Coturnix japonica: one gene and its partner. The protein of the gene in region 2 binds, or shares a complex with, the protein of the main gene of each other region. Links are inferred from orthologs where the notes say so. Each region holds a gene or a part of one and is shown on either strand. Other genes may lie near its edges.

Region 1 (6,812 bases), on a different chromosome or scaffold from region 2:
GTTATTCATGGGGGAAAAAAAAAACATAACTGAATGGGCTTCCAATTTTCCTTCTCAAACTGGATGTCAATATTTCTGTTTCCTCTCCCTCTCTGCCCTCCACCAAATCTGAAGTGCCAAATTTAATTTTCATTCCTGCTGACAAAATGATTTTAAACCCAGCGCTGGCTGGCAACAAATCATCCTTTCCTTTATGCAGAGAAATTATTTGCTCTCCCTTCTTACTATTTCCACCACACAGGGATGAGCCTTTCCAGAGCGTTGTGCACTACACCACTGCTTACAAAAAGCTGGGCCCTTCTGATACCCTGCTGATGTAGAAATGAACATCTGAAAGACATTAACAACTTCTTTTTAATATCATTCTCATGCAAGAAAGCCCAGGTGCTGTATTGTACATCAGCAATGTCAGTGCTTCACAGCATCAACAAGCCAGAGGTGGAGAAAAACACCGTGTGTGTACCAGCACAGCTACAATAAAGGGAAAGGACATTCCCATCTCACCAGGAAGGGGCATATTTAATTCTTGGTCACCAAACGTAGCTTTCATTAAACAGGACAGGGCTGGATTTCCAGTACTACAAAGCCTGTCCCTCCTTCAGATGTAACTAATTCACTGATATGCACATATCAGCTCATAAACACCATTTCTGAATGCTTCACATCCTGCTCCCAGTCAATGCTCAGCGATGACGGCAGGTATCCTGCCCACCTCATCCATCTGTAAATATCACAAGGTTTACTTGTTTTACGGACCCAAAATAAATGGTGATGGTACAACCCGACCCCCACACGTTAAAATGAAGCACGCTGAATGAGGTTACTCACTGAACTGCCTGAGGAAAGGAAAGCCCTCCTGAAATACAGCTTTGGAGCAGAGAGAAAATAAGAGGAGACAGCAGAAGTAGAAACTATTTACATCTTATAAAACTGCGGGGAATCTCCTCCAGCCCTAAATAAAGAAGTTCCATTGCCCTCAACACAGAGATGCCCTCAACCAGAGAAATGTTTCTCCCTACATTTTAGCAGCACCTGTGACACAGGCAAAGCGTAAACATGGTACAGACAGCAGTTACAAAAAGCACACAGCAAAGCTGGCTAAGCTGAAATACAAGCCAGGAACAACAACCCCTAAGCTACATATACACAGCAACATATAGGCAACCTGCAAGTGTGAACAGCAACTTCCTCAGCCTCCTTAGCAGAGGAGCCTAAAGGAACAGAGGATCCTGAAACCAGACTCATGTCCTGCCCTGATAGATGAAAGAAATAAATGGGAGCTTTAGGTATTCTGTGACCAAAGTGTTCTTCACGAAGCCCTAACGCCAAGACTAAACTCGGGCAGGTCAGGCTGCTCCACATCTGGAATTATCCTCTGAAAGAAAGAAGAAAGAAAGAAGATGCTTCCCTCCAGCAGAAAATACATCACCTGAGGAACGGCACAAACAAGCCACAATTTGTAGCTAAAAGTAACCTTCAGGTGAAGCAAATCAAGAACAGGTTGGAGCAAAGCAGGCACAAAACCGCAGCAGGGAGCAGAGCTGACACTCCCACTAACATTCACACTGGGGTGGCCTGAGGCTTGGGTCAGGAACACCACTCTAAATACAAGCAACACACTGCAAAGCTTTCACGCTCCTGAGACAGCCACTCCCATTTTACACCAGTGGGTAAAAACAGTTTTAGCCTCATTTATTCCCTCCTAAAATAGTTACCCCAAAACAAACATAAAAGGGAAATCATGGTCACCAAGAATTACTGCCCATTTATTTTAGGGTCTAAGTAGTGGAACCAGTAAGATGGGAAGGATGGGATGGGAAGGATAAACAAGCACCTAGGGAAGAACCTGACAAACTTCAGAGGTAGAGATTTATTAATTGTTTTTGCCAAATACTTCCATAACAAACAACCAAACGGCACAGAGCAAAGGACTAAAGTAGGTTAATGTGAAAAATACCTTGCTCAGCTTCACACAGCTCAAAGACTGAGTAACAGTAACAGTGGTGAAAAGAGATGATCAACACGTGGGATGGTGAAAAGCCTGGAGGGACCCAGCACCATCTGAGCTACATTTACTCTAATTTGACTTCTTTAGTACTAAACAGAAAGGAAAAGCAATTGGCACATTAGCTGGATTTAAGAGCTGCTACTTCAATTTGGAGAGATCATAAATACTAGCTCTGACAGAAGCCTGAAAGAGTAAGTACGTAGGCAGCATAGAAAAGGTAATTCTACTGGTGAAAAATGGAGATATTATATTTGAAAAACATGCTCGAAGATGCAGAAGAAAAGGGAGAGACTACCTCTACAATGCGAGTGTATTACATGAAATAGCAGCTAAAAAAATCAGCTGGGGATTTAGGAGGGAAAGGGCACTGTGAAGCACTTCTGAGCACAGGGAACAATCCCTGGAGAAAGGGGACTCGATAACACCTAAGATCTTTTCTGCCTCATTTTCAGTTGCAAAGAATGTGGTGAAATCGTGAGAGCAAAAGATACTGAAGTTATTCAATACCAAGGGTGTCAAATGTTCACGCAAGAATGAAGTAATGGGATCCTAAACAGCACATCTAGTGAACATTCACAGGCTCAGCTACAAAATGCCGCTCACAGCACTGAACCTGCTTGAGAGCATTTGCCCCCAAGCAACAGGGAGCCCCAGGTGGCAGGCAATACCTGGGAAGGATCTGTTACCCGCAGCGTCACTACATCTTCACTAGTGTATTTGATAAACAGGTGGTTCTCATCCAAAAGCTGCATCTTCCACATGCGGAGCTGCCTCAGTTGATCAAAGTATTGGAAGAACCTCCTCTTTGCTATTGCGCTGCCGTCCTGCTCTGCCCTTCTCCACAGGTACACCAGCAGCCTGTGCTTCAAAGAGTTTATGAAGGGCTCTTTGTAGGGGTTTGCCATCCCCGTCTGAGTGTCCCTCTGCACCTCGGGATACACTGCAGACAGTGTCAGGAGATCATCCTCATAGCAGAAGCGGCCGATTGTCCGCACATCGATGAAAGTCCCCTCGGGCGTCACCTGAAAGACGTGAATAGTCTGCTGCTGCACAGAGAGAATGGCCAAGATGTTCTTATACAGGTACAGCCCCTGGTTATGAGAGAGGATGACTTTGTCGCACTTGAAAGTCCTCGTGTCACAGAGTCTGCCCGTGTGGAGGTCAATGATATGCAAGGAATAATCTTCCAGAGGGGAGCGAGGGTTGGGGGTCACCGACTCACTGTTGCGATAGACCTCAAAGAAGGGAGGGTGAGGCTCCTCAGGCAGGTAAGCAGCAGAGCCAACGATGACGTACCGACAGTCGTCAGTGAACAAGCTGCACTCGCGGTTCAGGTGCTCCCCATTAGAGGCCACATTGGTGATATGGAGCAGGACGAAGAAGCGCTCAAAGAGCCGCCCTCGGATGTTGACAGATCTTTGGTCATTGCCATTAGCCAGGATCTCCCCCTCGTAGCCTTGCAGGAGGTCCTCAGCCGCCTGGCAGCCCTGATACTCATAGATCTCCAGGGAGGTCTGGTCGGAGGAGAAGGCGATGAAGTAGCGCCCATCAGGGGAGAACTTGCGCAAGAAGCAGGGAGGCTTCTCCACATTGACCACGGTGAAGTTGGGGAAGACGTTCTGGTGGAAGACACGGACCTGGTGCCAGTGGGTGCCAGCCTTGCCAGAGCTGATCCGACGGCGCTCCAGGCGGTGGATGACGTTCTGGTTCTGAATGCGGCGAGGCTTGATTGTGGGGGCATCATGGTCCATGGTCAGAGCATTACTTCATCTTCACCCTGCTGCAGATGGTGCACACACTCACCGTGGGACCTCACCAAGGCTGATAACAAGAGATGGAGCTGCGAGCAAACTCACAATCCCATAAAGGTGGGGGCAGCTGAAAAAGCCTTTGGGAGACGGACTGGGAGAGGGGGTTCAGTGGGACATAACGGGGACAGCAGGAGGTACCCAGAGAGAACCCAGCAGGGAGATGGGACCTGCAGAACAGCCTGCAGGGCACAGGGAAGGATGGAGCCGAGGAAGGCAGCACACATACGTGGGTACCACCGGAATGAAGGGACACGGCAGCACCGGGATGGGGGTGAGAGCAGCCGGGACAGCGGGGACAGAGGGAGCCCGGGGGGAAACGGGGCGGCCTGTGGGTCACCGGGAACAGGAGGATCAACGAGCGGCCTGACTGGAGCCTGCGGACCGGGGGCCGCTCTGCCTCTGCCCCGCAGGGAACTGGGGCTCAGGTCCGGGCCCTCGGGGCACAGAGGAGCTCGGAGCCCCCCGGGCCTGGAAGCCACGGTGTGGCGGAGCCCACGAAGGGTGCAGGCCGCGCTCACCAACGGAGCCCGGCGCTGGACCCGCCGCCGCCGCCGCCTCTTACTGTATGGCCGCCGCCATCTTGCCGCCACCACACAACGACGCACCGCGACGGCGGCGAGAAGGCGTCACCCTCAACGCCCGCTTCCGCTTCCGGTCGGTGGAGCAGCGAGGAGGTGCGTACCAGAGTGTCCGCAGAGAGAGCGAGAGAGAGAGAGAGAGAGCGCCCCCTGGCGGAGGGAGGAGCGCTGCGGGGCGTCCGCGTACAGCGGGAACGGACTGAAACGTGCCCTGCAACGCTATAGCCCTGCACCCCTATAGCCTACAACCCTATAGCCCTGCACCCCTATAGACCTGCAACCCTACAGCCCTGCAACCCTATAGCCTACAACCCTATAGCCCTACAGCCCTACAGCCCTACAGCCCTACAGCCCTACAGCCCTACAGCCCTGCAGCCCTATAGCCTACAACCCTATAGCCCTGCACCCCTATAGCCCTGCACCCCTATAGCCCTGCACCCCTATAGCCCTGCAACCCTATAGCCTGCAACCCTACAGCCCTGCAACCCTACAGCCCTGCAACCCTACAGACCTGCAACCCTACAGACCTGCAACCCTATAGCCCTGCACCCCTATAGCCCTGAACCTATATAAATCCACACCCCTATAGCCCTTCACACATATAAATCCACACCCCTATAGCCCTTCACCCATCCTAAACCCCTATAATCTTGCAGCTTGCAAGCAATAAACCCTCACCCCCATAAATGTGCATCCATCCTGCACCCCTATAACCCTGCACTGCTTTAGCCCTGTAGCCCCTCACCCTTAAAAACCTGCACAAATGCTGCATCCCTATAGCATGCATCTCTATAGCCCTGCACACCCATAAACAGGCATCACTACAGCCCTACACCTATCCTGAAACCCATAATCACACACCCCCATAAACCTGCACCCATCCTCCACCCCTTCAGAACTACATCCCTGTGGCCCTATCAGCCTACATCCCTCCTGCGCTCCTATAAGTCTACACACCCATAAACCTGCATAACTGAGCCCATAAACCTGCTGGGGACGTGCTCACCCACACTGGTCACTGTGCTGCAGCCAGCCCTGGGTGAAGGGCCTCAGTCCCATAAAGCACTGAGTGACATTGCTATCCCCACAAAGCTCTTGGGACATCACCCCAATGGGGGGTGGCAGTTAGGTGCCAGGTCAGTGGGGACCTTTATAACCCCTATACAACCCCACCACTCACCTTGTGCCCCCATATATGTGTGTGGAAAGGAGGCACCTTGCATCCCCTATGGGATCATGAGGAAAGGACCCACTCTATGGGCCTGGGGGTCCGTGCCCATTTCCCTGTGGTTTTCCACAACAGGAGACACGATGACAAGCTGAAAATGAATGGCTTCAGCGCTTCTCTTTGTTTCCCTCCCCCCCCCCCTGTGTAATTAATTGGGATCCACCTTAATAGGATAAAACTAAATACCAAAGAGCATCCAACCACATGGCAGCTGGCAGGAAAATAACCGCCCAGCACACACACAGACAGGCAGTTCAACGGACAAAAGAGCCATTAACACAGCAGCAATCAGAGCTCCTGAGCTAATAACTCCATTGCCGTGGCCAGCCCCGTGTTGTGGCTCAGGGCAGCAGACCTTTGTGGGAACAGTTTTGTTTTCATTTGTCTGTCGGGGTTTGCTGATGGGATTTAAGAAAACTCAGTGAGGCTGGAGGGCTGGGAGTAGGGAGCTGGGTGGGATGCTCAGTGGGTTCAGATGGGATGCAATTGGCTGGAATTGGGTTGGTTTGCTCTTCTTTTAGGAAGGGTTTTGTCCATCCTACAGCTGCAGGTGGCTCTAAGGTGGACTGGGGGGAGGTTTTGGTGGAAAGCACCCAAAGAAAGCAAGTGAGTGTTGCAGACAGAAGCCTGCACAAAGCTTTGCTCCGAGCCATCCCATTTGCTGCTGGGAAAGGTGATAGTGCCATTCCCAGCACAGCCCAATGCATCTCAGGCACAACCTGAAGTTCTGCTCCCAGCTGCACATCATCTGCCCTTTCCGATGGCTGACAGCATCAGCTCCCCTATACAAACCATCCTGTTCCACCTCAAAACCTCAAATGTGTCTACGTTCCCATCACAGATCCCTTGGGATGAGCCCCAGTGCTGCACAGATATTTCCCATCCATCCCCATAGCTAAGCATGGAGGCTTAAAAAACAATAAGCAGAGCTCATTTGGGATGTTTTGGGTGGTTTACTGAAGCAAGAACCTTTCTGCTGCTGTGTACCAAGTGCTGTGGGATCAGTGGGGCTGAGGACTGAAGAAGGAAAGGAAGGACACACTGCTCCCACCCTGCCTCACGCAGCCCCGGCCATCTCCTCACCTGGATGCTCTCAGGGAACGAAGACCCTCTCCAGATCCTGCACATCGCTTTCCCCTCTCGTGGCCCCCCCTCTCATCCACGCTGTGCTGATGGAGGAGAGAAAA
Region 2 (6,369 bases):
TAGTAGGCATTCCTTCTTTCAATTATATATATATAATATTCTGTGTATATATATACATACAGCTATATGTATATACCTACAGCTGAGATTTTAAAGTTCACAATTCATTGTAAGCACAGATATTTATAAAAAGAAATCCTGAACTGGACACTCAGATTGACAGATTTTCAACTATCAACTTCAGAAGCAAAACAATACATTTATTTGTCGAGCTACTGTGTCAGCCAAGAGTGGTTACACTTCTCTCAATTGAAAGGTCAGGCTAAGATTTGCTGCTTAAGAGGTAACAAGATGCCTGCTGTTTTCAAGGACAGCAATTCAATTCCATGTCTGAACTGTAATTGTGATATGCAGTGAGTTTCTCAATCTTGACATGTTAGGTAAGAAAGGTTGCTGTTTAGGGTGATGCCCTCTGGGTGAGGAAAATTGAAGGACCGGAAACTGTACAACATATGCTGTAAGCCATTACACCTGTATAGTGGCTAACCTTAAAAGAATTAACAGAGAAGGACTGAGCATGGAGGCATTCTGCTTTCTTAATGCCATCTATAGCAAAGCTAACAGAAGTAAAACAAAATCACTGCATCTTAAATGCACATTTAAGCAGCCTCACATACCCTTCATAACAAAACCATTTCGAAAAACACTAAATTGCTACAGCAGCACACTCCTGCATAAGGCATGATAGCAGGGTGTTTACACAAGTGGAAAAGAGCTTTGCTAAATCTTGATTTATATGAAGTCAATACTACTGAAAATCTTTAAAAGTAGATCTAATTGTCTACATAACCACACAATTAGAGAGTAGAACAGAATTAAGCCAACTAGAAATGAACAAATTCTTACTTTATGCTACCTGGGTTAGAATTAATTCAGAAATACTGTGATTATATTTCTGTACACAAGGAAGGTCTCTTCAGGTGGCAAAACGTGGCTTCCCAATTCAGGTTAGAATAAAGCCCATAGCCTATTAATTAGACCAGGGAATGATTTATCTCCAGTGCTACATTAACTTGCTAGCATTCTCTGTTCTAAACATAAGTTGAGGCTTTGGTCAAAATTCCTTAATTACTAAAGCCTCTGTTGTTTGGATTTTTTACTGATGTTAGCAGAGTTGCCTGTTTTAATTAAGTGAAGATTACTGTCACCTCAGTATAATGCCATGAAGACTACAGAATTCAAAAGCTAACAAAGGAAAAAGTTGCTGAACACACATCCAGTCTTTTTTCCCTTCCAGAAGGACAGCAAAATTACTTCAATTTGTTTCCATTTAAAAAACCATAATGGTCAAAAACTATAGTCAATTGAAGGAGCATAGCCTTATTCTCACAATATTATTCATTTCTGATGAAAAAGGTATCACAGAAACTGAGTACACAAAACAACATCATTGGCACAGAACGTGATAATATATTTTCCCTTCTTTGATGTTACTCGTCTCCTTTCATTCCTCCACTTTAATTTCATATTTTCCTCATCCTCTAATTTCTGATTTTCCTTCTGTGAGGTTTTACAGCTTTTAATCAAAAAGCAAAGAAACAAAACCTGTTAAATACAAATACCAGATCAGATTAAGAATGTTTACAGTAACGTTGTCCTCATTGTAACACGCTGACAAAACCACTGAATAGATTACACAACTATAAAAACTAAACCATGTGAAGACTATATCACTGTGATTCTTCCCCAGTTTTATGACAACCAGCACTCCTGAAAATACATTTATCAAAAGTGCTATTTATTGTGCGCTTATCTACAGAAGCCTTATACTTTTATAAATCATCTCAGCTTTTAAAATGCGTAATCAAAGGCTTTTCTTCAATATTAGTAAACGTGAAACTCTCGTTAGAGTCTAACCAGCAAATGTACTGATGTCAGCAACTGGCATAATTAGTTTCAGCAGAATCATAAGCAGATATGATTAAACTTTAAAAGGTTTAAGTAATTTTATCACTGTGAAATGCATGTTGATAAAAGCCCTAAGCTTTGAAGATGCAAAGCTAAGATTAATAGACCAATTTCTGACATATCATTATTAATTTTTTAATAGGATACTGTCCACAGGCCCTTGTTGGAATCACGGAGTCATCACATTAGACACTGTACAAAGTTCAGACTCTTCTCTAACATGTTAAAAATTGGATTTGAGACCTTTATATTCCTGTCTAGTCCAATATTTCTTACACTAAAAAACAATAGCAGCAAGCAGGCAGAAGAGAAGAAGTCCAGAAACTATAACAACTGTAGGAATTAACTAAATGAGTAGCACTATGGCTTGAAGAGAAAGCTTTTGGTTTTGTTTCTTTTTTTATTACTTCTTTTTCTTTTAGTTGTGAAAAGAAACCTTGGCACGCTCTGTTGGCTATCCTATAACCAATACAACTATGTCATCTACGCACAGCATCATATTAGGAATGGGTCTTGAAAAAGCATCTTGCTGTGGAAGGAGAAAAGGCAAAGGCCTCATGGGGAGGTGCCTGGGGCAGGAGAGAAGCATGCTAATAACACACTGGAAAGACAAGTGAGTCCAGGACAGAGAAGCACACAGATAGTAAAGGACAGAAGAAACCAAGACATAGGCTGGAACCTCGATGAGATGTAGGCACGTAGGAGAATTTTATAAATCACAGCAAAAGGGTCTCTCCTTTTTTTTTGCAAGGCTCCATGTGCAATTCTTTTTTTCCCCGCACAGCAGCACATCTCCAATGTTTTTTCTTGCAGTTCACACTGACTTGAATTAGTGAAAAACAGAATCTGGGACAGTCTGCACAGTTGATCTCATCAGATTCTGCTAAAAGTGTTTAACTACAACCACTGTTATCCCATCTGAGCTCTACTATATGGACTAACACCAGTAAGTACTGATGGAGCAACACTAAGCACTAAGTTCCCCAGGTCTGGACCAAACGTGACAGTCATTATCTGGAAATGAACACGACCATATAGATGTCTTGGAAATGTTCAGTGTCAGGCTGGACAGGGCTTTGAGCACTCTGATCTATCTGTAGGTGTCCATGTTCATGGCTGAGAAGTTAGACGAGATAACCCTTAAGAATTCCATCCAACAGAAACAATTCCATGAGAATAATTTCAGTAGCTGTTCTACAAATCCACTTTTCCTCTCAAGAAGTAAAGAGATGCTAAAGAAATAGGTATTAAAACAGACCACAGTTTAAAGTAATGAAACCAACATGCATTTGTTGTTCACTTCAATGTCTCTGACCTGACCATCTGGGAAAAGGGAATGCAGTTCTTTACAGCAATAGGTATTACGGTAGTCCTAACATGCTGAGTTACTGAACTGTCTGAAATGTTTATGGTTAATTAACTGTAAGTTACACTGACAAGTTTCAACATCAGTCATACATACACATACAGAGATGTATTTTATAAGGCTACAAAACTGTCTGAGTTTTACTAGCAATAAAAAAATGTCAGCTTTTATCATGCAGGCTACTATTAAAACCATGTGAAAGAGCCAATTTGTCAAAGAAAGGAAAAAAAATATACAGGTCTCGTTATCGTGACCAGCCTCAGAAGACTATTACACTGACACAGTAGTGCTACAATAAAACAGTAAGAAAATGAATATACCGAACCATTACATAACATCTGATGGCCAGCTGAAAAACAAGAAAGGAAGAGAAAAAGACAGAAGAACACTGTACCTTTTAGCACTAGTTGACAGTTTAGCAGCTGTTTTGCTTGATATTTTGCCCTCTTTTTTCTTGGGTTGAACTTGCTCCCTTTCTTGTTCAGGCTGAACGCCTTCACGCTGATCTCCATCAGAGCTGCCTCCACTAGTGCTCGGACTGTCATCAACTCTCTGCCCCTCTGTAGACATGGCAGATGCTGCACTGAACCAAACACAAACAACGAAGGTCAGCTTTCCCAGAAGAAGATGTCAGACAGTATTTCTTGCAGGAGGAAATAACACACAAGATCCGTGTCTCTATACTGAAACACTTGCATTACAGCACTTCAGTCATCTTAGTACTGAAGAGTTTTGCCATAAACATCTTAACAATAATTCAGGAGTTGGTCGTTTCAAATTCCATAACAAATATATATGAAGAGAGGACAGATTTGTTATTTATGATAATGACAAGTTACTGCAGTTAAGCACAAAACACGATTGTGTGAGTACTACACCAGTGCCATAAAAGAGATTTTCCCACCCCTTGGTCATATCATAAGTTAGCTTTCTCATCACTCTGCCACCAGCTCACATTTCACATCGTTTGTTAAAAACCCAGAGCTACTGCTATCTGAAGACTCTGCTATCCCATATGAAATAAACCTGTGAGTTCATTCCAAGTCTCTAACATGGGTTTCCACATTACAAACTCCACATCTTGGCACACTGGATGGAAACGCTTGCAGAACCAAAAGGCACTAACACAGAACTGTTTGTGTTTACTAAATGCAATGCTTCTAGAGCAGTAAGTATCCTGGGAGGGGATACAAAGTATCCTCTGCCATGAGGCACCAAAGCTGTCAGGGAACACAAGCTACAGGAAACCCCAACATGCTTCCAGAAGTCGAGGTCACAGTTTACACACACACTTCTGATACCAGTTAGCTATTTTCACTGTTTCCTTCATTTTAAGTAGTATAACACTATGGCAGACGAGGAGTTACAGCTGTTAGGACTTCTTAAAGCATTCTAATGAAGAGCAGACATCCATGTAAAACTGTCTATAAATTGGCATACGTGGTAGCAATGACTGCTGGAAAACTGGAAAAAAAAACAAAACAACCCCCAAACCAACAAACTAAACCCTCAATATATCTAAGGGCCAAATATGGGGCTGATATGGGCACGTTATCTGCCCTCCTCTAGAGCAAAGGAGCCACATTCAAGGTACACAGGCCTCAACATCCCTCACTCACATCCACACAATCCCACAAATCGGAGCGACTTTTCTGATTGAATCTGACCAAATCCAGAATCTGCTGCAGAGTTTTAAATTGCTGTGAACTTCCACTTGCTTTCCCTTTTACTTGGGTACAGACACCATCCCAGTTTAAGAGCCAAACTATTCACCGTGGAGATCATACAATTATAATCTCCAGGGAGAAGACTAAGGGTGGGGGTTTTTTGGTTTAATTTCTGAAGCTAAACAGAAAGGAGACCCTGAAAGCCTGAGATGTTCAACATATTTAGATGCTACAAGAAATAGCAAGCGATGGATATGGGATCAGTTCCGCCTTGTTCAGTTTATGCTACGTTCAAATTCAATTTTTGAAAATGGTGGGTTTTGAGACTTATTTTCTCGCATAAATTTATATAAAACAAATTTACACTTCACTGCATAAAACAACTGAAATAACAGCATGTTTGACTCCTAAAATTAAAGGAAGAAATTGTTCATTCTTAGCAGAACAACCTTCCCTGCGGTACAGCTACAGGATGATACTGAGCACAGTTAACATATTTACATGGGTTAATGCCTCTGTATTTATCTCCTGCTTGTCAGATGTAAAGATAAAACAAATAGAAGACTGGGAGGTAATAGAGCACAGAAGCACCATATTCTGACAAGTCAAAATATGCATTTAATAACGACAGTGCAATTTTGGTTGTAGGCACCTGTTTTCTTTGCTTCTACATACAGCGAAAATACCACCTGATCTCTCTCAATAGCACTTTTGATGGCCTTTATTTACTTTAGATTTTAGTTCTGAACTTTGCTTAACACATCTCATTTTCAAGAGAAAATTCCCTTCCTGATGTACACACACACACGCTTTAACACTGCAGGCCAGACAGTTAAAAACCTATTTAACGAAGCCTGCATGCACGGGACATCTGCTGCAAATAATCTTGGCTATAAATATTACTATTATCCCAAACCAACTGCATTGCTGGGTTAAGTTCAGGTTACTATCCAGCAGACAAACATTGTAACAGTAGCCCTGAGCATATAATTACTGTAACATGTAATGCCAGCATTTACAGCAGGAAAATGCTTGAATCTGTCATCTGATGTCTGGCTGCCTTCTGATTTCCCCCCTTCGCTCCGTGACACCCCCGGGCGCTCTCCCCAGCTCTCTCCTCCCTATAGCCGCAATTTTAGAGGATTGCTCTAAAGGAATCTTTGAATCTAAGGATGCTCCGTGCCCCGCTCCGAGCGCCTTCCAAAGGGCCCCAAGTCACACACTCTCAACTCAAACTCAGGAGGCAGACAAACAGATGAACAAATAAGAGAATGGAAAAAAAACACCGAGAGAAGGATGACAGCGCTGGGAAAGCATCTCGGTGCCACGAGCGGGTTGGGAAGCACTGGGCGCTGCTCGGAGCCGAGAGCAGCAGCGTGCCAACGGGGTTAGAAAGGCGTGGGGATGTCCTGCTCGGGGGTCTCGACC

Evidence for each region. Proteins that work in one complex are often made in the same cells at the same time.
Region 1: the proteins of ubiquitin-conjugating enzyme E2 E2 (region 2) and DET1 are in contact, whole or in part, in a cryo-EM structure (PDB 9BJZ), measured with the Homo sapiens proteins. The link is inferred for Coturnix japonica from reciprocal best matches to the Homo sapiens genes UBE2E2 and DET1. Residues at the interface, in NP_001357154.1 of Homo sapiens: Ala77, Gly78, Pro79, Lys80, Gly81, Arg88, Ser89, Thr90, Gly101, Val103, Phe105, Phe123, Arg124, Thr125, Arg126, Ser134, Gln135, Gly136, Gln194, Trp195, Arg198, Tyr199, Ala200, Thr201; in NP_001137546.1 of Homo sapiens: Arg258, Phe259, Tyr261, Asp264, Thr267, Val268, Phe272, Glu274, Asp289, Pro290, Phe291, Ile292, His297, Arg298, Leu300, Val301, Trp304, Arg305, Phe319, Phe320, Gln321, Phe323, Asp324, Arg327.

Annotation. Positions count from the first base shown.
Region 1 is NC_029525.1:11,804,520-11,811,331, reverse strand, and holds the start of DET1 (DET1 homolog), read right to left. Parts: upstream 4,489-6,812; 5' UTR 4,382-4,488; exon of another isoform or gene 3,789-4,381; 5' UTR 3,760-3,788; coding exon 2,677-3,759; intron 1-2,676. UniProt on the Homo sapiens protein: Component of the E3 ubiquitin ligase DCX DET1-COP1 complex, which is required for ubiquitination and subsequent degradation of target proteins. The complex is involved in JUN ubiquitination and degradation.
Region 2 is NC_029517.1:33,815,902-33,822,270, reverse strand, and holds part of ubiquitin-conjugating enzyme E2 E2, read right to left. Parts: intron 3,858-6,369; exon of another isoform or gene 3,853-3,857; 5' UTR 3,845-3,852; coding exon 3,669-3,844; intron 1-3,668.